Linked DNA regions of Drosophila melanogaster. The gene in region 1 interacts genetically with each later gene. Each region holds a gene or a part of one and is shown in the gene's direction. Other genes may lie near its edges. The genes, in order: Ubr3, Sans, Cad99C and ck.

Region 1 (5,061 bases):
GAGACCATCGCTCGTGTCACCGGAGGCATGAAGGTGAAGGCCGATCGTGATGAGGCTTCGCCCTACGCCGCTATGTTGGCCGCTCAGGTGAGTTGTGCGCTCTCCGGTCCAGTTGGAGCCCGTCTAACGGTTTCAATTCCCTCCAGGATGTGGCTGAGAAGTGCAAGACACTGGGCATTACTGCCCTGCATATTAAGCTGCGTGCCACCGGCGGCAACAAGACCAAGACCCCCGGACCCGGCGCCCAGTCCGCTCTGCGTGCTTTGGCCCGTTCGTCCATGAAGATTGGCCGCATCGAGGATGTGACGCCCATCCCATCGGACTCCACCCGCAGGAAGGGCGGTCGCCGTGGTCGTCGTCTGTAGATGGCAGTATCTGGAAAGCAGTAGTCTATGTTTGCGGTCGAAATACAATACTGCATTTGTGTATGCGATAAGAAAGCTTTTCTGTTCGTGTGCATAGGTGCACTGTAATAAACCAGGAAAATACGATGTAAATGACTACAAGACATTTTTGTGTGTGCATTGGGTTCGGTTTGGGGTCTGCAAGTGCTGCAATATTTGATTTATAAGGACATTGGCGAAATGTTTACAAAAATTGCACATTACAAGCCGAAGAGTTGCCACCCTGGCGTGCCCAACGCGGTGGTAGCCCGATTGCGCCATCAAAGTAACTATGCGTCGATAACTATCGCATTACCAGCTGTGTTGTTTTTGCCTTCTTTTTTTCGCATCCGGCGCACGCAATTGGTTGGTTTTCTGCTATTTCTCCCTTTTTTTGTTCAATTTTACTGCAATTGACTTATTTGGCGGCAAAAGCGAAAAGTTGCTGCTAAATATGATTCAGTGATTTAGCATAAAATGAAAAATTTTGCGGACGCCGTGAAAGTGGTGGCGAATTAATTTGTTTCTCCCCCATTTTTTTTTGTGTTGTTTTTTTTTTTGTAGTGATTTGAGCCGGCAAATAAACATGGTGTTTTTTTCTCTTTTAGTTGCTGATCGACGACCAGACTCTGCAGAATGGCTCCAAGAAAGGCTAAAGTTCAGAAGGAGGAGGTTCAGGTCCAGCTGGGACCCCAAGTTCGCGACGGCGAGATCGTGTTCGGAGTGGCTCACATCTACGCCAGCTTCAACGACACCTTCGTCCATGTCACGGATCTGTCCGGCCGTGAGACCATCGCTCGTGTCACCGGAGGCATGAAGGTGAAGGCCGATCGTGATGAGGCTTCGCCCTACGCCGCTATGTTGGCCGCTCAGGTGAGTTGTGCGCTCTCCGGTCCAGTTGGAGCCCGTCTAACGGTTTCAATTCCCTCCAGGATGTGGCTGAGAAGTGCAAGACACTGGGCATCACTGCCCTGCATATTAAGCTGCGTGCCACCGGCGGCAACAAGACCAAGACCCCCGGACCCGGCGCCCAGTCCGCTCTGCGTGCGTTGGCCCGTTCGTCCATGAAGATTGGCCGCATCGAGGATGTGACCCCTATCCCATCGGACTCTACCCGCAGGAAGGGCGGTCGCCGAGGTCGTCGTCTGTAGAAATGGATCGTGCCACCCGCTTTTGACGCTGCTTTATATTCTTATACTATTAAATACATGCATAAATGCAGTGGCAAGGGCATGTTTTTTGGGCTCATGTGTTTCATTGTGGCCAGTGGCAACGCGTCGTTAGGTGGTGCTATCGATAGGTGATGGTTGGGACCACCAATGGTATGTGCAGGTGTAGAGCGGTCACACTGGATGAAATTCAAGACCTATCGATATCCTGATATACACGCCAACGAAGACCGTGTGTGGATTCGTGGAGCAAATCGAAGTTGGCAGGATTAAAGGCATTCGCGAACGCAGAGGCAGCAGCTAAAGGGCCACCCATGCACCAAAGAAACAAACTAGCTGGCCCAGCGGTTCATTTATCTGCGACTAACAAGCTAAAATCGGCGTAATTGGCAAGTTCAATGCACGACTAATATATTTGGCCACACTTGCCAGTGTATGTTTGTTCGTGTGCGTGCCTGTTTGTGTGGTGTCGTCTCCGTACGTGTTTGTGTGTGTGTCCGCGACGAGTATGTGTGCGCACATATTCGTATATCTGCAAGACTCGCGGATGAAACAGCGTGAAAAGTGAGCAAAATATCGGGGAAAAACGGCACGGTACGGCCACAGAACGGAACGGTACGGTGCGATACGATATCGAGAAAAGGCCATCAGCCAGAGTACTCCTCGATCCGGAAACGGATAATGGGGATATAGATGATACAGCCAATAGCTCCCCGAAAGCCACAGCACACAATAGGTCGGTCGGTCGGTCGGTTGGTTGGGCGACGTCGCCGAGAGTTAAACATCAAAAATCAAACCCAGGAACCGACGGAGCTAAGTGTCAAGTGTTTGGTGTTGTGAAATTTTTCGTTTCCAGCTCTCCGTTCAGCGTTCAGCCAATTTGCCAACCTTTTCCCCTCTTTAATTTGTTATCCCCGGACACCACAAGAGTTTCGATCAAAATTTTCAATTGAACGCAACATCGCCATAAACAAAAACATAAAGGTAAAATTCGGCCACTACCCAAACAACAAAAAAATAAAATCATAAGAAAAAATCACGCAGTAACGTAGAAGAAGCAGCAGCCGAAGCCGAAAAAAGACGAAAAGAAAACTTGTTTGAAAAGGCCGAACCGAAAGAAGAAAAAGAGCAGCAGCAGCAGCACAGCGGCCAAGTTTGGAAGAATTTCAGAATTTCAGCGTGCTAGGAACGGAGCAGCGGACCGGCGACGTCACCAAATAAACGCCCATCACCATGGACGAGGATGACAACCTGTCCAATGCCGACATAAGCATAGATGACGAGGAGGTGGTGCGGGAGCAGACCCACCATCCGCCCATGCAAGAGGATCAGGAGCTGGATAACGAAGATGGGTCATCCGACGTGGATCTGTCTTCGGTGTACGTCGTGCCACCCATAGTCTCGGCACCATCGCCCGCATCAGTGCGCATCGCTGGTGGATCCACAATTGGTGGCGGAGGGGTCGCAGCTGGAGCAGTTCCAACAACCACCGATAACTCGCATTCCCCCTTCCACGATTGGGATTCCAGTGTGGCGGCCGCTGCTGCTCCACCGCCGCCACCGCCCAGGACAGGACCAACTACAACTACAAGCTCCGGCACAGCCGCGGAATCGGGAGCCGCGTCCGCCTTATCCGACGATGCCGGCGCCAAGCCAAGTTTCTTCTTTGGCGCCTCCTCGTTCAGTTTGCGCAGCCGCAAGGAGGTGGCCGCCCTGATCAACACGGAATGCTGCCGTGGCAGCCCCACACCCGATCTCGACTCCATAATGGATACCCTATTCAATCCGGGGACGCCCATCGACAATCTGGACAACATCGAGTGGATACGATGGCTCATTGCCGGCGGACGGACGCCGCAGGAGTTTGTTAAAATTGGTACGTCCCAATGTGTGCATATCGATAAGTGTGTTGCATTTTCTATCGCCAAACAGCTGATCGCAAGTCCGTTGCCCCTGAAACTCTGACCGAGCATGTGTGTGTTACCTGCGTTATGTGTGTGTGTGTCTGTGAAATGTAATGGTTGTAGGGCACGCAAAGAAAAGGTAGAGAGGAAGAGAGCATAAAAGCAAGGTGCAAGGCAGCGTGAAGAGTGCGAGTGCACCACCATGGCAACAGCAATCAAGCGCACTCTCTCGCACACACAGCACACTCACTACACACACATATGCACTGATTAGGGGAGTCAACTTTAGCCCAATTTAATCTCAACTGCTCATCTATTTGCAATGCTGTATTTGTGCATAATTTTCATCACTACTTATTACTTTTTGTGCCAGGCTGCGTATGTCGCCAAAGTTGCTTTTATCGTTTATGGTTGTTTGTCGCGTCTAGTCTTGTCTTGTCTTGTCCCACTTGTCAGCTCTGTCACACGCACACATACACACACTCGTGCAAACTGGCGGGCGGAGACGTACACGCACAGTGGAATGCAGCTTGCACCTTGTGGCTTTGTATCAGCTGTTTCGGTACGCCTTGCGTAATAAATGTTTCCGCAGCATCCGTCCCAAAACCACACGAACACGAATGTAGATGGTGCTTGATTATATGATGGCACCTTTTGTCACCGCTAGGTGCTCCTTTTTTTTTTTTGTGTTATATTTCTTTCACCTTTTTGTTTGTTACTCGTTGCAAGAACAATTGCAAAATTGCACTGGTGCGGAAAAAGTTGATTGACCGTCATTGTTGTTGATTTGACAAAAACACGCACAGTGGTCGCGAGGGGCGGATGTGATGTGGCCCACTGTAAGCTGTCAACGGCAATTGACCGAAAGACCGTTATGTTATTGGGTGGTGTGTATGTGTGTGCGTGCGTGCGTGTATGGGTGAGGGTGAGAGAGTGCACCTTTTTTCCGTTCCCATGTCATGTCACCTCCCCTTCCCTTCGCCACACCCTTGCTCCTCCATTCGGACCTTGTCCAAAAGTTCTCAGTTAGAAAGAGACTGCTGAGCCAAGATAGTGAGAGCGAGAGAGAGTTGCTAACTTTCCGTTGATCGATCGCTATTACAATTTTACAACATTGTCAATCAACTTTCCGCTGCACTGTGGTTGTTATTGGCCAATCCATTCGATTTCCTTCCGCATGCGGCGGCCGACAACGTTGACCTTTTTAGTCAACAAGGTCCGAGCGGAATACGTACATACATATGAACATACATATGTGTATAAACTACGAAACATAAAACAATCGTATGTACATAAATACATGTACATACGCCCCAGAACGCAGGCCGAAGACAAAAAATCAAAGAGTCACGCAACTAAAAGCAAGAAATTAACTAAGCAATGAGTGCATCATTTTATTTTTGGAACTCAAATCAAATCAATAGCAATAGCAAGGCAATGCGGTCGGTCAGAAAAAATCAGCTAGCCTCGACTGGTTTTACAATTTCACCTCATCGCTCAAATTTGCAAGCGATATTTAATCGTTTTGTGATTAGAGGCGGGAACAATGCTTTGCAATCGACCGATTATTTCGATGATTTTGCATATGAATTCGTTGAGTTCAAT
Region 2 (5,981 bases), on another chromosome or scaffold:
GTAAGAACGGCATACCGGAATGTAAAGCGGTATAACTGCTTGAACATCTCGGCGTCCGCCTTGAGCATCTCGATTGTCTGCTCCAGCCGCACCCGGATACTGTCTATTGTGTCCGCCCTCATCTTATGCAGACCCTCAATGAACTCCACCTTGGTGAAGCGGCACATCTGCGAGGCATCCAGGCACCAGGCCAAGACGAGAATTGCGAACTCATCGGGCTGATAGTTGAGGTCATTGCATAGTCGCTCGATGCCGTCCGTGAGTATCATCTCCTCGTCGTCGGGATCTTTGTACACATCGAATAGTTTGCTCAGCGTTTGGTGCGATACCTCCATCGATTCCTGGACAGCTATTAGAATATAGAAAATCGAATGAGTATGCCGCCAAGGCAGTCGAATGAACGCTGACTCACCAGTTGTTATGATATCGCTCATGGTGGGCGCACTGCCATTAAGCAAACCTAAAGACTTAAAACTATTACGCTTAGTATCACAATTGTTTGCTTTTGCTGGCTTGAGTGGAGTTCGGCTAGAGAGCAGTTCATCGGTTTCTAGAGTGCATAAGCCGGAATAAGAGAGGTTTCTTAGACTTTGGATCACAATGCGGTTATTAACTATAGAATACCCACCTAAGGCGCAGCGCTCGTTGGCATTGGGATTAATGCCCACCGATTCGTAGCAATTTGCAAGGCTGGTGGCCGTCTGGCAGGCGTTGGAATTGGAATTGTGTGAATTGGGGGACGAGGCGTTCGTTGGCATCGATTGTTCGGCGGCAGACTGGAAGCATTTCAGGCAATTGCCCATAGTGCGGGCGTGCTTGGTGCACCACCAGGTCCTACTCCTCCCCCGTGCTCCGCCTGCAGTTGCTTGCTTAACGGGAGCACTCGATGGCTTCCAGTTTCGTTTTGGCTGAGACACTGTGATTTGTCAAGGGGCGTGCAATTGCAATTGAGGTCTGCTGGTCGTATAGCTTCTGGGAAATTTATTAACTATGCATTGGCACTGCGATTCCCTCCTCTGGCATATGGTAGTGGCTATTCCGATTCCGATTCCAAGTACGTCCTGTGCGAGTACAAACAAGTACGATTCCGATTCCGATTCTTTGTTGTCACTGCGATTGCTGTTGTTATTTTGGTGCCTCCTACGCAAACGCACACTCACGCGTATACACATACATGTGCAGGTTGCAACTGCAGCATTTGGTGCCACCAAATCGCGCTCGTCTCTCTCTATTGATGGTTTTCATTCACATTTTCAGTTCACCGTGCTCCAGCGCGTGTTTAACTACAATTTTTTACAATATTTTTAATTTGATTTATCTCGCTTTTTCACTTGTCTTGTTTTTTTCTGGCAATCGGACCAGGGCGGCACTAGTCAACCAGGGCTGCAGTGCTCTACGTTAGTTGATGCGATAGTCGTAGCAACTTCAGTCTGGCAACACCCTATCGTCGAAGAGAGTCACAGTAGGACATACAAGTTGATTCCGCACAGTAGTTCACACCTTAAATATTTTCGTACAAATTATTCTATATTCAAATACGATTATTGAACCAATACGTTCAATACAATGTTTTTATTAATTTATATTCTTTATATTACTTTATTGGTTAAGAAATTTAAAACAAAACATTAGCATACATAATTTTTCCCATTAAAATATTTAGTTGCCGTCTAAGCAGCATCTATCATTTTCTCGACCACTGTGCGTAATGTGAGCGCCGAGTTTGAGCAAAGCTAACAATTTCATTCAACAACATGCAGTCGGAGCGGTAGAAAGTGCTTCCGGGTAACGGCTTTCGGAACGTGCATATTCTACCGATCGCAGATGAAAACTTTCGGTTCGTTTGGCTAAAAAGAAAAGTGTCAAGCTGCCCGGAGTGGGAAAATCCAATTTGAAATCCTGCATTTGAAAAGTCGTCTTGAACCGGGACAACTAACTGGTAATAAGTGAGTGTGTGTACCCGTGGTAAATAAGTAAATGGTTGACTGTCTCGATTTTCGGTTGTTTTGGGCAATTCGAAAACCAGCCAACAAGGTTGAGTGAACTTGGTAGTTGGTCGTTGGTATGTAAGCCAAACTCCGTCGTGCGCAGTAAATGGGTAATGTTTTCTTGTGTGCGTGTGTCGTGGGCCTGTGATTCTTCGCGGCGGCTACACTTTTCTTTTTCTTTTTTGGATTATTAATTCGAAACGTGTGAACGTTAGTACAAGTGCTGGGAAAAAGGGCAATATGCTTAGGCTTAGGAATTTGGCTCATCTTCGGGCTTATTTTAATTGGCCAGCCCCACACAATAAGCACATTAAAAAGTGGAGTAAGACAAGAAGTACGAAAACCCCGTCTACATTTGGTACCAGTAACACCAAAACGGAAATCAGTCGATCTGATACATACATTGTACATATGTATATGCATATATAGGGATCCAAACCTAACATCACCACATCTAAAATGAGAAAACCGTAAACTAAAATGATTTATATCTTTTTTTACTCTAAATATAACAATACACACACCGTTCCAATCATTAAGTATACATTATTTCAGCGCTGAGCGGAAGATTCTTGGGTATGTTGAGCATATTTTCGAAGTAGCTGGACAGCTCTTCGAAATTAACTTCGTCGGGGCTTTGAGTCGGAGCTTCTGTGCCTCCATTAGAGAAAATATCATCACATTGACAGGTCAGGTAGACTGTATCGGGATCCGTTGGGATCGATTTAGCCAGATCCTGTAGTTTGTCCACCCTTGGGACCGTCAAGTTTATGGCGTTTCCGTAACCACAAATATTTTCACACTCGCTCATCATGGTTTTAAGATCGTAGGCATTGCCAGAAACCTTTCCAGTCGCAATCTTTGCCCAATTAGATTCCTTCTCTTCGTCGGTGTCTCGAATTTTGTGAGCCCAATCCACTCCTTCGGCACGAATTCTTTTAAAGGGATGTTCAATTATTGACTTTCGAAGAAGAAACTTTTGCTTCAGTGTATGCTTCGGAATTCGTAGATCTTCGAATTTGTTGGAATCCAAAGTTGCCTCTATTGCAGATTTATCGAAAGTTGTTGCTTCGATTGGATTGTCAGATATTATCATCTTACGCAGCTCGGAGGAGATTTTTTCTATAGACATGCTTTTTAATTGTAAAGAATTGTTGGCGCTTATGTGTGTGACCTAATTTTGAGAATCTTGAGATGTGTGATGGAAAGGAATGGCAAGTATAATGAACAGCCTACTCATCTCGCCTTGGATTCCTTTCAGATCGATTCAAGAATTTCCATCGCCAACCTGATTGAAAGATAACACAGACGAATATGTCATCGGATCGGTTTCACAAGTGGGTACATGCAATTAATTTGACTCTATCTTATCACCAATGGTGATGCACAAGAGACTCATTAACTTTCTGGTACAATCGTTTCCGTTTAGAGCCGCCAAAGATGGGCTGTTGGATGTGTTGGCAGCAGCCACACGGAAGGATACGAATGCCAAGGACAGTGATTCCATGACGCCGGTCATGTGGGCTGCCTTCGAGGGGCGTCTGGATGCACTGCGTCTGCTGTGCGGAAGGGGGTACGCATTCGTTTAAATGATAATTCTATATCCACTGAAGATAATCCTTTCCTCTCCCTTCAGTGGTGACCCTGACAAATGCGATCAGTTCGGAAACACAGCCTTGCACTTGGCCTCCGCCAAGGGTCATTTGCATTGCGTCGACTTCTTGGTGAAATTCGGAGTAAACATCTATGCCTTGGATATCGATAAGCACAGCGCCAAGGATCTGGCGGCTATTAATGGCAGGGACGAGATCCTGCGCTACTTGGATGTTGCCTTCACAAACTTTGAGGCCACTGAAAAGTAAGTTTATGAAATATCTGCCACTTGCTTGCATTTTTGTTTGCATAATTTATTTTTTGTATATATTAAAACTAATACTTCAACTAACAGAAAAAAAAGCAAGGCCCTGAAAGAATTGGCCGAGAAAAACTGCGAGAAACGTGTTAGGGAGTACATGAAGCGCCAGAATCAGCAGCAACAGCGCCAGGATCCGGAGTATTCGGATCTAAGCGCACCCAGTGGCTCCAGCAAGACCGGCAACATGCTGTCCACTCTGAAGCAGAAGATCTGGTCCAGCCAGGGCAATCTAAATAAGACACCAAGGGATACACCGCCTCCCACAAAGTTCAGCGATCTGGTTGGGAACGGTAGCAGCAGCAGCGGTGGCTCCACAATAGCCAGTCGAGCGGGAACGGTGCAAAAGAGACCGTCGCAGCTCCAAAAGCAGCACAGCAGCACATGTCCACACTCGAAGATATCCAGCGACACAGACGGTGGCTTCAAGGTGCGCGAGGTGGAGCCAGATGGAAAGCGAACCATTACATCGCTTACGGGTCTGCAGAGAGACTCCGAGGTGCTGTATGTGGGCACCTTTAGTTCCAACGAGGACAGTGTCGGCAAGCGCGGCAAGATCAGCGATGTTTTTGAGTGCATGGAGGCCGATGAGTTGGACCACAGCGATAACCGCAGTGGCTATAGCTCTACTTTAGCGCGTTCCTTCTCCCAACCGGATATTCTGGGGGATGGTCAGTTGACCCAGGAACTAAGCGAGGAAGTGACCCTCCAGAGACCCGTTGGACTCTTCGATAGACCCACCATGCTGGGCAGCATTGCCTTTCGTCGATCCGTAACTGCTGCTTTAAGTCAGCTTCAACTGCACACGGACACCAGTTCCACTTCCACGATGCGGAATGCGGGCAGCAATCCTCCAAAGACACGAAATGGCGGAGGAAAGGGTCGTTTATATTTGAACCTTTCGGATGATACGGACTCGGAGGGCGGCGGTCATGACATCTATAGCGATGATGACGACGACGACCGAGATGCCGGAGGAAGTGCCTTGCAGCGATTCCTGGCCGTTTGGGCCCTGGAAGAATACCTGCCAGTGTGAGTAACAAAACCAAATTTGTCTGGAATGTATGTGTATTCAACTCGTATCCTCCTTTACCATTTCAGATTTCAGAAGCAAGAGATCGACTTGGAGACTCTGATGCTGCTCACAGAATCGGACCTTAAGTCACTTGGCTTGCCACTGGGGCCATTCCGTAAACTCACCTTCGCCATTCAGGAGAGACGTAACGCCCTGGCCAATCCCGGACCCCTGGTAGACAGTCGACTGTAGTAGTTGGCCTAATCATTCTATTTTTTTTGTAATACTTCAACATGTTCAATTAGCCTAGTGTACATACTAAATTAAAGCCTAACAATTATCACTCCAGTTCGCTGTGTTAGCCCGACACCTGTTGCATCAGATAGAGATTGGCGTAGATTTTGTTCAGTGCCATCAACTCATCGTGGGTGCCGTGCTCCACTACCACGCCGCGTTTTAGCACACAGATGAGATCCGCATTCCGCACGGTGGTCAGACGATGCGCAATCGTCAGGCATGTGCGGCCTGATCTCGCCTCATCCAGCGCCTGTTGCACCACCTTCTCGCTCTCCAAGTCCAGCGCAGAGGTGGCCTCGTCCAGGATGAGTATCTTCGGGTTTCTAACCAGGGCTCGAGCGATGGCGATGCGCTGCTTCTGACCTCCAGAGAGCTGCGATGTCTTGCCCAGTCGGGTGTCGTAGCCTTGGGGCAAAGCACTTATAAAGTTGTGGATATTCGACTTCTTGGCCGCCTCAATAATCTCCTGCATGGACACATCGTCACGGAAATTGTTGCCATAAGCTATGTTCTCGGCAATGGTGCGATCGAAGAGCACGGGTTCCTGCGAGACCAGGCCCAGCTTGGAGCGCAGTGTGTCCAACGGGAATTCCGTGCTCGGCACTCCGCTCAGATTCACGGATCCCGATACGGGATCGTAGTAGCGAAGCAGCAGTTGCACGCAGGTGGACTTGCCGGAACCAGATGGACCCACCAGAGCAACCGTCGTCGATTTCTTGATGGTGAGATTTAGGCCCTGCAGAATGGGAGTGCCCTTCCTGGTGGGATA
Region 3 (5,266 bases), on another chromosome or scaffold:
TGGGACTGGGACTTGGCTTTCATAAAAGAAATTGGCGGCAATAAAAGAAATTATAAATTATAATTGCAATCATAAGACTGAGCTGCTTACGGGCAGAAGTGGAGCTCTGCCAAAGTGAAGTAATTTGAAACCAGGCGGTTTATTATTTGCCTTTATTAGTTCATTCGCTTTTTGCGCTGATAACGTAATATTTTTTAAAGCCAGCAGGTTGCATGTTTTTTTACTCGTTCACTGACTTGTTGCGCTTTTCCCACTTAACTTTTCTTCAAAGAAGTTAAGCCAGGAGCCAATAAAATCTAGTCTGCAACTGTCTGTTGGTAATATGGCTGAAATAAAGCATTTTCGAAACGATATTTGCTATGCACCACAATTTATTTTGCCTATGCTGCACCTGTCGTTTGTGCAATCGAAAATTCTCAGGAAGGCAAAAATGATTTTAAACTGGCTCAACCAGCAATTCGAGCTTTTGCGCATGGTCAATGCGAAACCTTACAGTTTTGGCTGACACATTTCGCTTGATACCTTCATATCCGGTACTCATGGAGCATATCAGCATATAGCTTGCTACTACCAAAAACATTTTGCAGAATCACAAGCAAATCTGTCTTGGCTACAACTCCAGTAGCAGCGTGTAACTTTGGGTCACTGAACTACACTTTTGTTAAATGTCAGCATAAATGGCTAAAATGAAATACACCTTACAAGCTCCTCCTAACCAACTTGTTCATAATCCAAAAACTTCCTGTTAGAGTAGCGAATTCAAACAGTTGGCACTTTGTTTTTTCGAACTTGACATATGTAAGCCGATCGGCAAATTATCGCGAAAATGGGCCATTCGAATCGTAAAAGTGATGACCAAGCCGGAAGAGCACAGACATTATGGTAATCCAAGAACCCCCAATAAATGTAGCAAGAAACTGCCTCTTTATAATAACGAAAGAAGCTAAGCCTTAATTAAATCCCAACCCAGTGGGATGCGGATTTGGCCAGGTGAGGAGCTAACAGCCAACTGGCTTGTTAGCAAACAGTAAAACGAGCTAATGACGTACATCTGCTGAAAACCCTTGCACTTTCTCCTCCAGCCAGTTGTGATGAAGATGGCAGACTCCCATGCGTTTAGCACCATGAAGATACTCCGCTAATAGCCATTTAGCACATGGCTTAATCTTACCGTACAGTTTGTGTGCCATATGAATATGCTATGTTTGCTATAATTAGGTGCTTTGACATTTCGAGAAACAAGATCTGCGCAAATTATCATATTTGGCTGATCCCATCGATCTGAGCAGCTTTCAATGCCAATATAACGATATTGGCTCAATTGTTCTGGCAGCATCCGGCTGGAAATGGAAATGGTGGTATTCGATGGTGGTGTTCGATGGAAACACCTACCCATGATGGCAATGCCAATTTCGCGGATTGCCAGCCAGCCGGGTGCAACTGTCTCATTGTCCCAGTACAATGGCAACGGAATATGCATATGCGACGACTCCCTGCCCGCCTGACAGGTACAAAAATGCTGTCTGCCCCTTTGGTGAACTTCATTCATGCCCCGGATCGCAGCTCGGATTGCATTGCATTGCAGTGGATTGCAGTGGATTGCAGTGGAGTGGAGTGAGCGGCCAAAATCGCGGCAACATCGACTAAAACATTTTAATAAAAACTTACACAGCAACGGCTGCAGTGCAGCTGAAACAGAAAAGCAAACACAAAGCGAGCGACAAGCCGAGCCGAAGCCCCAAAACTGGTTCCTGGCCTGGCTGGCTAACTCTAAGCCCGATCCACGGCTCCAACTCCTATGAAAATGCAACATGGTGGTCTCTTACATATTTACCTTTGACTTAACAGACGCTGTTAGCCGCTCGAGATTCTCTGTCCGCGCAGCATACACATATACATATGTACATAGCTGTGTATGTACATGCACCTGCAGATCGTGGATCGCAGTACCTGTGCTCCACAGCCGAAGCCTTTCGCATGTGTGTGTGTGTGTGTGTGTGTGTGTTTGAGTATGGTGTGGTATCCATCAGCTGGCAAACGAGTAACCCCCGAAAAACCAGTTTTACCGCAAAGCGAGCGAATGCCAGCTCAATTCCAATACGTTCCACCTTGGATCGGGTAGCGCCCACTTGTTGCCGCTGCTGCGCGAGACAGGTAAAGCGAAACAGTACCGATCCAACCGCCGAGCCGACACCACGTACCACGTACTTTCGCGCAGTGTAGCACGACGAGTATGAGCTTGTGCCCCAACGCAGCGCTATTGCTATAAGGTGGCTGGCGCGATACCGGTTTTCGAGCTGGTATGAATATGCCCAAGAGCTAATTTTTTAAGAGTTATCTCTCAAGAAAATGTGTAAAGTTCAGAATGGTCCGTTTGTGGCGACGTGTGATGTGTGGATGTGTGAGGTGTGTCCGGTGGATCCAAGGCAACCTAAAGCTGTAGCCATAGAAGCCTGAAAAGGGCATACCACGCAGATATCTCGAAATAGCGCTCCGTTTAAATAACAAAGAAGCCCCGAGAGGCAAACAAAGCCTTCACGCCATCATTAAATCTAAAAATCATACCTTTGTACACACCACTTTAACCCCCGAGAGCAAGACTTTCTCTTGCCAATTTTTCAGTTTTTTTGTTTACCCAACACAACTCACAGTGGAGTGAAAACAGAAAACAAACGAAACCATCATCGTTTTGCCGAATATCAAAGGATAGAACACTAATGTGGAATGTGAACGTGATCGCCGTATTAAGCAAATCGCATTTATCGACCGGGATTTCTGCGGCATTTGCCAAGAACCAAGAAACAAGCAATAAAACAGCCAAAAAAAACAAAAAAAAAACGGCAAATGAGGTCACGTATGTCGAGATTTGTGTAAGAAACTTACACAGTCGTGTTCACTGTACAGGCATACGTAGATAGTCATCGACTTGCCATGCTACTTTTACTACATGCTACCAAACTCCCACGCGCCGCTTTGTTCGCCAGCTTTTCGCGAAACATTATGGCTTATAATTAATCCAAGAGGGCAACCTCCAAACAGTAATTAAAATTCACTTCAGTGCGGCAAAACTCACTTCCAAGCCGGTGATCCGGTGATCATCAACTTCGAAATGATCAACTTCGGATTCAATATGAATTTTATGACAGAGAAATACATAAAATAAGTATTACAACACCTTCAAATTTGTGTCGCGAGTGTTTTTAATCGAGTTTAACCCTGTTTTTTAATGCGCAGATACAACATCTATTGAATAATATAGTAAATCGAAATGTAATTGAGGACCAAGAATAACCTTTGTTAACGGCGTGTGACTCCATTTTTCACGTTGGATACTCAGCTGAAATACTTTGAGCTGCTTTAATATTTAATCTTTAGACCAAACGGTAAGTGCGGAGTATTATTAGTATTATTATTATTAAATTATTCAGCATCCAAAGGCGGGGAGAAGCAAAATGATGAAATAATGTTCTTTTCTCCGGGCGGCGGAGATTAATCTTCATTTGGCTAAATGGCTAGAAGCCATTTATAAAGCAGAAAACATAATCACCTAACCGTTTTTTCTTCAGCGGAAAGTCAGGTCGATTAATTTTATTGTCACCCAAGAATTTGCAGTTCAATGTCTTTGGCCATCATCTAAATTCAAAGATTTGTTTTTAATTATTCTAAACTCAACTTATTTTGGCCAATTAAGACAATCATAATGGTAGAATGTTTATGTTACTCAGCAGTTGCTTAAGTTTCGTTAGACGTGTTCTCGATAAAAAGGCGAATCATTAAAATTAATCATCAGGAAAAATGATTCTCAGCAAATTGGCTCTAAGATACTTGTCGAGTTCATTAGAACGATTAGAATGTTAAAGCACTTTGAGTCATTAAACTCGACAAATGGCCATTTTGAAGACGATCATATATTTACTCCCACAGGAGTCATAAATATATGGACAGCCAAAATGAATGGCATAGATTGAGATACTTTATATGCTGATAGAATTCGATATATATTATGAAACATCTCACGGATCCGTGAGGAGAAATACTTTGTATGGCCAAGAGCGCGTCCTCTGTCCAATAAAATTAAAATACAATAAAACACTCAGCGAATTAGCATAACAATCGCAGTTGGAGCTGACAGAACGATGGTGTATACATGAATGTATGTATCCAGGTGATCCAAGTGATCCGAGTGATCATCCAGGGGAGCCGAGTGGCCAGGTGGACCAGGGTATGCCGCCATTCGGTGCCCAAATGCTGGCGTTCCTTTCTTGTTTATTTAAGATTTGTGTGGCAACCATCGTTCGCATTCCAGCAGATTTGAGATTTAAGTTCGCTACGTATTGTACCACATTCAAAACTAGAAAATGTTGGCAAAAACAGCATCAATAAGCAACAGGTTTGCCGCATATCGAATCTGCACCCAGCAGCACACAACACACACAACACACACAACACACACAACACACACAGTACACAGGCATTCAAAGCGATACCTCGGCTTTCGTTTATTTTGCAAACCAGTTTGGCACATTCGGCTTTTTCTATAAGTTTCCGGTTGAACATAATCAGCAACTGACTTTCTGTGGTGGCCACCGCCGAACTCCTCCTCTGGCTGCTCCTGCTCCTCCTGCTCCTTCTCCGATCTCCTCCAGCTTCGCGCCTTTGTTTATGCGGGGGAAATGGAAAATGGCATTTTGTGTACCGTCCAGTGAAAGCGGAGGACTTGCAGCGCTTTTCGCGATTTTCCCGATTTTCTCGATTTCCTCGCAAATGGAAGCAGGAACGGCACGACGGAGCATTTAAGCCCCCATATCAATACCATGTGATATCTCGCACTTAAGTTACGCAATGGGCGATCGGGGCTTTTATGATTTCGGAGATAATTTCAGCAGCAGTTGCGTTTGCAGACAAGTTTGATTCCACTCGCGATTGCAGCACACTTTGGCGAAATTAAATAAATCGTTGGGAAATCATGGGTATTTTGATTGGTTTATTTGGCTAATTGCGTAAATCGAATTGCAATTGGCCATCGAAGACAATAGTTGTCAGTGGCGGCTAAGGATAAGAGATCCATCAGCTTGGATTTTAATTGTCAGCCAATAGTTGAAATTCAATAATTCGCTTTGTTCATTAGAGCGCGCACTTTATTCCCCTATTTTATGAGTTTCGGTTAACCAGCACAACGGAACCCGGCTGCTCTGGACAGTGCTATCTATATCCAATGGATGCGATCGAGGAGGGAGCGCGAAAACCAGAAGATTAACTCCGATCC
Region 4 (5,089 bases), on another chromosome or scaffold:
GAAGTACAAGAATCGCATTAGGTCACGCGTGGCCAATCTGAAGGACCCCAAAAATCCTGGATTGCGAGGCAACTTTATGTGCGGCGCCGTCACTGCCAAGCAGCTGGCCAAAATGACGCCGGAGGAGATGGCCAGCGATGAGATGAAGAAGCTGCGCGAGAAGTTCGTCAAGGAGGCCATCAACGATGCCCAGCTGGCCACCGTGCAGGGCACCAAGACCGATCTCCTCAAGTGCGCCAAGTGCAAGAAGCGCAACTGCACCTACAACCAGCTGCAGACTCGTTCCGCCGATGAACCTATGACCACCTTCGTCATGTGCAACGAGTGCGGCAACCGATGGAAGTTCTGCTAACTCCCAAAATTGTTCCAAAATATAAATCAATCCCAAATGAGCACACACCACACATCCTTCATATTCTTAAATGAAACATTGTAAAGACACGACACGCGAGAAAACATTTTGTATCTGCTGCCCAACTGCGGAGGCGTTTACTCTGACCACCTAAACCTTAAACGAGAGAAAAGAAATTTCAATAAACATTAACTATTGATAAAACGGAGACGTCTTGTTGCCGCAATCAGTTTTTTAAAAACGCCGGTGATAACGACCACGCTGCTGATAACTCGCCGATAACACAGCGGGGCGATAAATTGAGCATTGAGCAAAGTAAATATGAATACATTATAAATATAACTCAGAATGATCTAGCAGAGAAGTAAATAAGACGCCATATTGTGTATGTATTCTCGAAGAGTATTAACAACCGATGTAATTAGTCAGTTTTAAAGCAATTTGCATTAACGAACTTTGTATTGCATTAAGTATAGAAGTCGGAACGGGCCAGATCGGACAACTATATCATATAGCGGGCATAGGAATAATTAAAACATTAACGCAAAATAAATATGTGTTCGTTGTGTTAGATCCATTAGGTGTTCTAATGTTTTGTTCATCTTAGTCAACGTCAATTTCAAAGTGGATGTTTATGATGGAAATCCAGTTCACGACACCATCATCCATTTCGAGGGTTAACTTATAGCTACCCTTTGGTAATGGGACCTTGGCAAACATACGATCATCCAAGGTGCAGTTCCTTATGTAAATATCATCCTTAAAATATATATTTTAATATGATTTAATATGATTGTCATATTGGCGAAACTAAATACTTACATTATAGGGACATGTATGATTAATATTGGAAAAGGGCATAAAGGCGGTGTAGAAATAGTAGAAGACTCTGAGACGATTTGGATACCTTAGGACGCGACAGTGTTCCTCGGAAACATTAAATAGAAACGGATGGTATCCGTTTAGCTTCCGGTAAGTGATGAATCTCACGACCATCCTATTTATTGGCAGTTTCAGAAGCTTAACGTGTATGTTGGCTCCGATAATTCCCCTGCCAAGCACTTTTAGTCGGCATTCGGGAAAGACGACGAATGATTTGTCATAGCTTTCGCACTTGAGGTTCGTGAGGCGCACGTATCCATGGGATTCTCCAATGAAAAGTAAGCTGATCCACAAGAGGTACTTCATCAGGGCAAATAGTCTGGATGTAATGACCACTCTACGCGATGGTGGAGTACTGGTTTCCAAAAATATAATTACTGATGGGGCATAATTAGATTTTAATTACTACTTATCGCAGTTCGTATAAATAATTAGGTAATCAACAAACCGCTTCAATGAGCTAATATGACGACATGTTTAATATATTGACATAGAAAAAAGATATTTCTTGAAAAATGCAATAGCTTATGACAGATATTTTGAAATGCGCGCCGAAATTAGGCAGGTCGATAAATTTGGGTAAGTAATGCTTATTTTTATCGATGCTATCGGAAGTCTATCGATCGGACTGCTTACGCGGCAATGTGACCATATAAGCGGTTTTCAAATGAACTGTAATGTTAACTCGTTAGCATACCACGATTAGTAATCCGCGCATTTTTTAGGCCATTCGCAACTGGCCCCACCACCTGGTCACTCTTATTGATCAGTTTATCGGTTGTTATTTTTCGCTTCAAGTCTTGTCTTCTCGGCGAAAAGAAAAACAATAAACAAATCGCACAGCCCCAAAATGATCAGTGGTCTGTAATCCACCTGTTGCTCGGCTTAACTGTGCTGGAAAAGCGGACTTTCGGCGCGCTGCTCTATTCCTGCGACTGCTGGTGCGTGACCTATTTATGTAACCTGTTTTTGAAAAAGAACATCCCGCTTTCGACGGGTCTGGAAAAGTGTTAATTAAACGGTCGTGGCGAGAGCGATTCCAATTAGAATTCGAATTCGGTGACCGAAAAGCGGAGAGTGCAAAATTCTGAGGCGGCAATTAAGGTAGAGAGTGATTGGAAAAAAGAAAAGAAATGAAACGAAACTAAAAGAAAAGAGTGCATTAACCCTGCCAAGCGGTCTGTGTAAATGTGTGTCTGTTTGTGGCTAGAAAAGCCAGTGGGGAAAATGACAAGGGTCACAGCATCGGTTCAGTGTAACATCATCGATTTTATTGCATTTCCAGACGGAGACGTGGCTGCATTGCATTTTTATTGCTTTAGGCGAGTGACCAAATTAAATAGCTACGCTTCAGGTTTCGTTGGCTAGAACGGTACTAACATGCACACTACAAGCGCAGCCCCGCTCTCTCGCACGCACACACGGACAGGTACACCTGCCGAGGAGCTGCAGAGCGAGCGAGAGGGAGAGATGCGTAAAGAGCGGCTCACAGTGCAACACATTCAAGGGTGCTGCTACCGTCTCCCCCTCTGCCACGTACCTTTCCCACCCGCTCTCGACAGTGCGCTCTCTCCCTCTCATTCTCCTTGAGCTTGAACCAGGCTTCCACACTGAGAAATAAACGATGTCAATTTAAAATGATTTGAATAGTCTTTTATGGAATTACGTGCGTAAACCTTAAAACAGTGACTAAGTGTGTTTTATTAATCAGTTGAAAACGTTTTTTTTTATAATCTATCATTATGATTATGAAAAATATACATATATGAAATACTTTTACTGTGTAAATCTAATCTAATCAGAGTGTACTATCATTAATTGTTTATAAATTTCAAACATTCAAGTTAAATATTTGTATATCCCATTTACATAAATTTGCATAAATACAAATCGATCATGAAGCGTCTGCTTTTTCTTGCAGTTCAGCGGTCAAGAGTTCTGAAATTGACAATAACAACAAAAACGCAGGCACACTTGTTTGTCCGGTTTGTTGTTTTTGCTGTTGCACAACGGGACATTTCGTGTGTGGACAATTGGAAAACCCTTTTTCAAATAAACGCTTTTCATTAGCCGGTTTTTGTTTCTTCTCTCCCATCTCAACCTTTTTTTTGCGTTTCCATTTGGGTTGTTGGGCTGTTTTTGTTTTTGTTGTTGCTGGGGGCTTTCGCGCACGCAGCGACTTTCTGTTTGTTTGGTGAAACTTTTTTAAGGTCTTCTCTAAATACATAATAAAAAAAAAATGAACATAATACTTTGCCCATTTTTTATTTTTGTTGTTGTCGCTGGTGAGTCGTTAAATTTTGTAGAAGATTTCAGTTGTTAAACCAGAAGCAAATTGTGTGAACAACAAACGAAGTTTTGCGAAAAAGAATTTTGTTAGCAATGCTAGTAATTATGGAAAAAGTTAAAAAAAAATTCTACAACTAACGGTGTTTTTTAAATTTAAATCATTTACAAGTTCACATTAATAACAAACACTTTATAATTTAAATTTGAAAAGGTCTAAAGGCAACATATAATCAATATTTTTGTAAAATAAGTAATATTATAAATGTTCAAATGAATTGAAAAAGTGCATTTGCTCTTAAATTTAAGAATCGTTCGCATTCCATAGACTTTACTACGGATTTATTATTAGCCATATTATCTTGAGAGCTATAATTCAAGTGACCAATAAAACAATATGGGTTTAACTAAAGTGCTCCAATTAACGTATAAGTAAAGTGAAACCTTATAGGATTATTATTGCATTTTTTGTAAAATAAGACGAATATGAATTTTTCAGATAGGAAATGTTTTTATGCCACAAATTGCTCAAAGATGACAACAACATGATGTCAAGTGTCAAAGTCAAAGTGAACAAAAAGTGGTTGTATTAAACAATTGGTATGAACGCCATACATACTTTTATATGTACATATGTTTATAGATAATATATGGCCGAGTGTCTGTATGTAGTGTAGAGTAGATGGCATAAACCGTAATTGTACGTGGCTGCCACACACGAACTTTCACTAATGACTCTCGATGAACTTTTGGATCACTCACTAAAAACGCACTCTCTTACTTATAGACATATATACATGCAGTACATATACATACATATGGTTACCATATATATGCACTTAGATACGTGCCAATCGTTCGTCACTGAGTCCACTATCACTACCATTCGATGCTAAATCTGCAGAGCCGGAAATTCTTAGACGCTCTTTGCTCGATTCTATAAGTTTTTTAATCGTTTTTGGTCATGCCCAGAGATACAAATGTCTGCCTCACACCTCGATTTACACCTTGTTTGATGTTTCGCTTCTTATCGCTACTTGCACTGCAGGGAAATTCTGATAACAGCAGGTACGGCAATTAGGCAATCGTTTTTAAATAATTCAGTCATGACTGTGCTTAGTCTAAGTGCTCTCTTCAATTTGAAAACAGTTGTGGATTGAGTACCAAAAAAAGATTAAAATACGAATATAGATACGTTTACCTAAAAAGCAATCCTTAAGATACAAATAGAGTTCCCAATAAATGAAACCTTTTCCGCGTTCTACAGTTAAGTACTTGCGGAAAGAGGGGATTTAGATGACAATGAGGGCATTAAACTATTAAATTGGGTGCTGATAACAGGACAACGAGTATTGAGCAATATTACTTAATACATGTATGTATGTCTTAGTTAAATGTTTGAACTCCAGCCGACAATTGAGGTCGCTATATGGTTGTGGTTCGAGTGTGGATCGCGGATAGATGGGTTCCCTATGTGCACTAGACTCGTATTTTGACCGGCAGAGCGTAACCAGACTGGTATGTGTACGAGTATACGTGCCGCCGTGTGCCACTAAATTTGGTTGCTCC

What was found.
Region 2: of Ubr3 (region 1) and Sans, changing one enhances a phenotype caused by changing the other (phenotypic enhancement), as found in Drosophila melanogaster (one study listed by BioGRID).
Region 3: of Ubr3 (region 1) and Cad99C, changing one enhances a phenotype caused by changing the other (phenotypic enhancement), as found in Drosophila melanogaster (one study listed by BioGRID).
Region 4: of Ubr3 (region 1) and ck, changing one enhances a phenotype caused by changing the other (phenotypic enhancement), as found in Drosophila melanogaster (one study listed by BioGRID).

What each region holds. Positions count from the first base shown.
Region 1 is NC_004354.4:7,934,184-7,939,244, forward strand, and holds the start of Ubr3 (Ubr3 ubiquitin ligase), read left to right. Parts: upstream 1-1,712; 5' UTR 1,713-2,785; coding exon 2,786-3,428; intron 3,429-5,061. Other genes in the region: RpS14a (ribosomal protein S14a), read left to right, coding at 1-87, 147-365; RpS14b (ribosomal protein S14b), read left to right, coding at 1,020-1,256, 1,316-1,534. UniProt on the Drosophila melanogaster protein: E3 ubiquitin-protein ligase which is a component of the N-end rule pathway. Recognizes and binds to proteins bearing specific N-terminal residues, leading to their ubiquitination and subsequent degradation.
Region 2 is NT_033778.4:12,935,151-12,941,131, forward strand, and holds Sans (scaffold protein containing ankyrin repeats and SAM domain), read left to right. Parts: upstream 1-1,740; 5' UTR 1,741-1,939; exon of another isoform or gene 1,940-1,946; intron 1,947-2,465; exon of another isoform or gene 2,466-2,523; coding exon of another isoform or gene 2,524-3,120; exon of another isoform or gene 3,121-3,193; intron 3,194-3,249; 5' UTR 3,250-3,302; coding exon 3,303-3,325; intron 3,326-3,417; coding exon 3,418-3,561; intron 3,562-3,624; coding exon 3,625-3,846; intron 3,847-3,936; coding exon 3,937-4,932; intron 4,933-5,001; coding exon 5,002-5,167; 3' UTR 5,168-5,262; downstream 5,263-5,981. Other genes in the region: SCCRO3 (squamous cell carcinoma-related oncogene 3), read right to left, coding at 16-349, 413-550, 629-803; CG30487 (uncharacterized protein), read right to left, coding at 2,524-3,120; Mdr49 (multi drug resistance 49), read right to left, coding at 5,274-5,981.
Region 3 is NT_033777.3:29,839,491-29,844,756, forward strand, and holds the start of Cad99C (cadherin 99C), read left to right. Parts: upstream 1-2,166; 5' UTR 2,167-2,300; intron 2,301-3,234; exon of another isoform or gene 3,235-3,383; intron 3,384-5,266. UniProt on the Drosophila melanogaster protein: Cadherin that functions in epithelial morphogenesis and the intestine epithelial immune response. Essential for female fertility. Regulates the length and organization of apical microvilli in developing follicle cells and salivary glands.
Region 4 is NT_033779.5:15,054,754-15,059,842, reverse strand, and holds the start of ck (crinkled), read left to right. Parts: upstream 1-1,980; 5' UTR 1,981-2,175; exon of another isoform or gene 2,176-2,338; intron 2,339-5,089. Other genes in the region: TfIIS (RNA polymerase II elongation factor), read left to right, coding at 1-352; CG33679 (uncharacterized protein), read right to left, coding at 956-1,111, 1,175-1,540. UniProt on the Drosophila melanogaster protein: Myosins are actin-based motor molecules with ATPase activity. Unconventional myosins serve in intracellular movements: can function in cells as a single-molecule cargo transporter.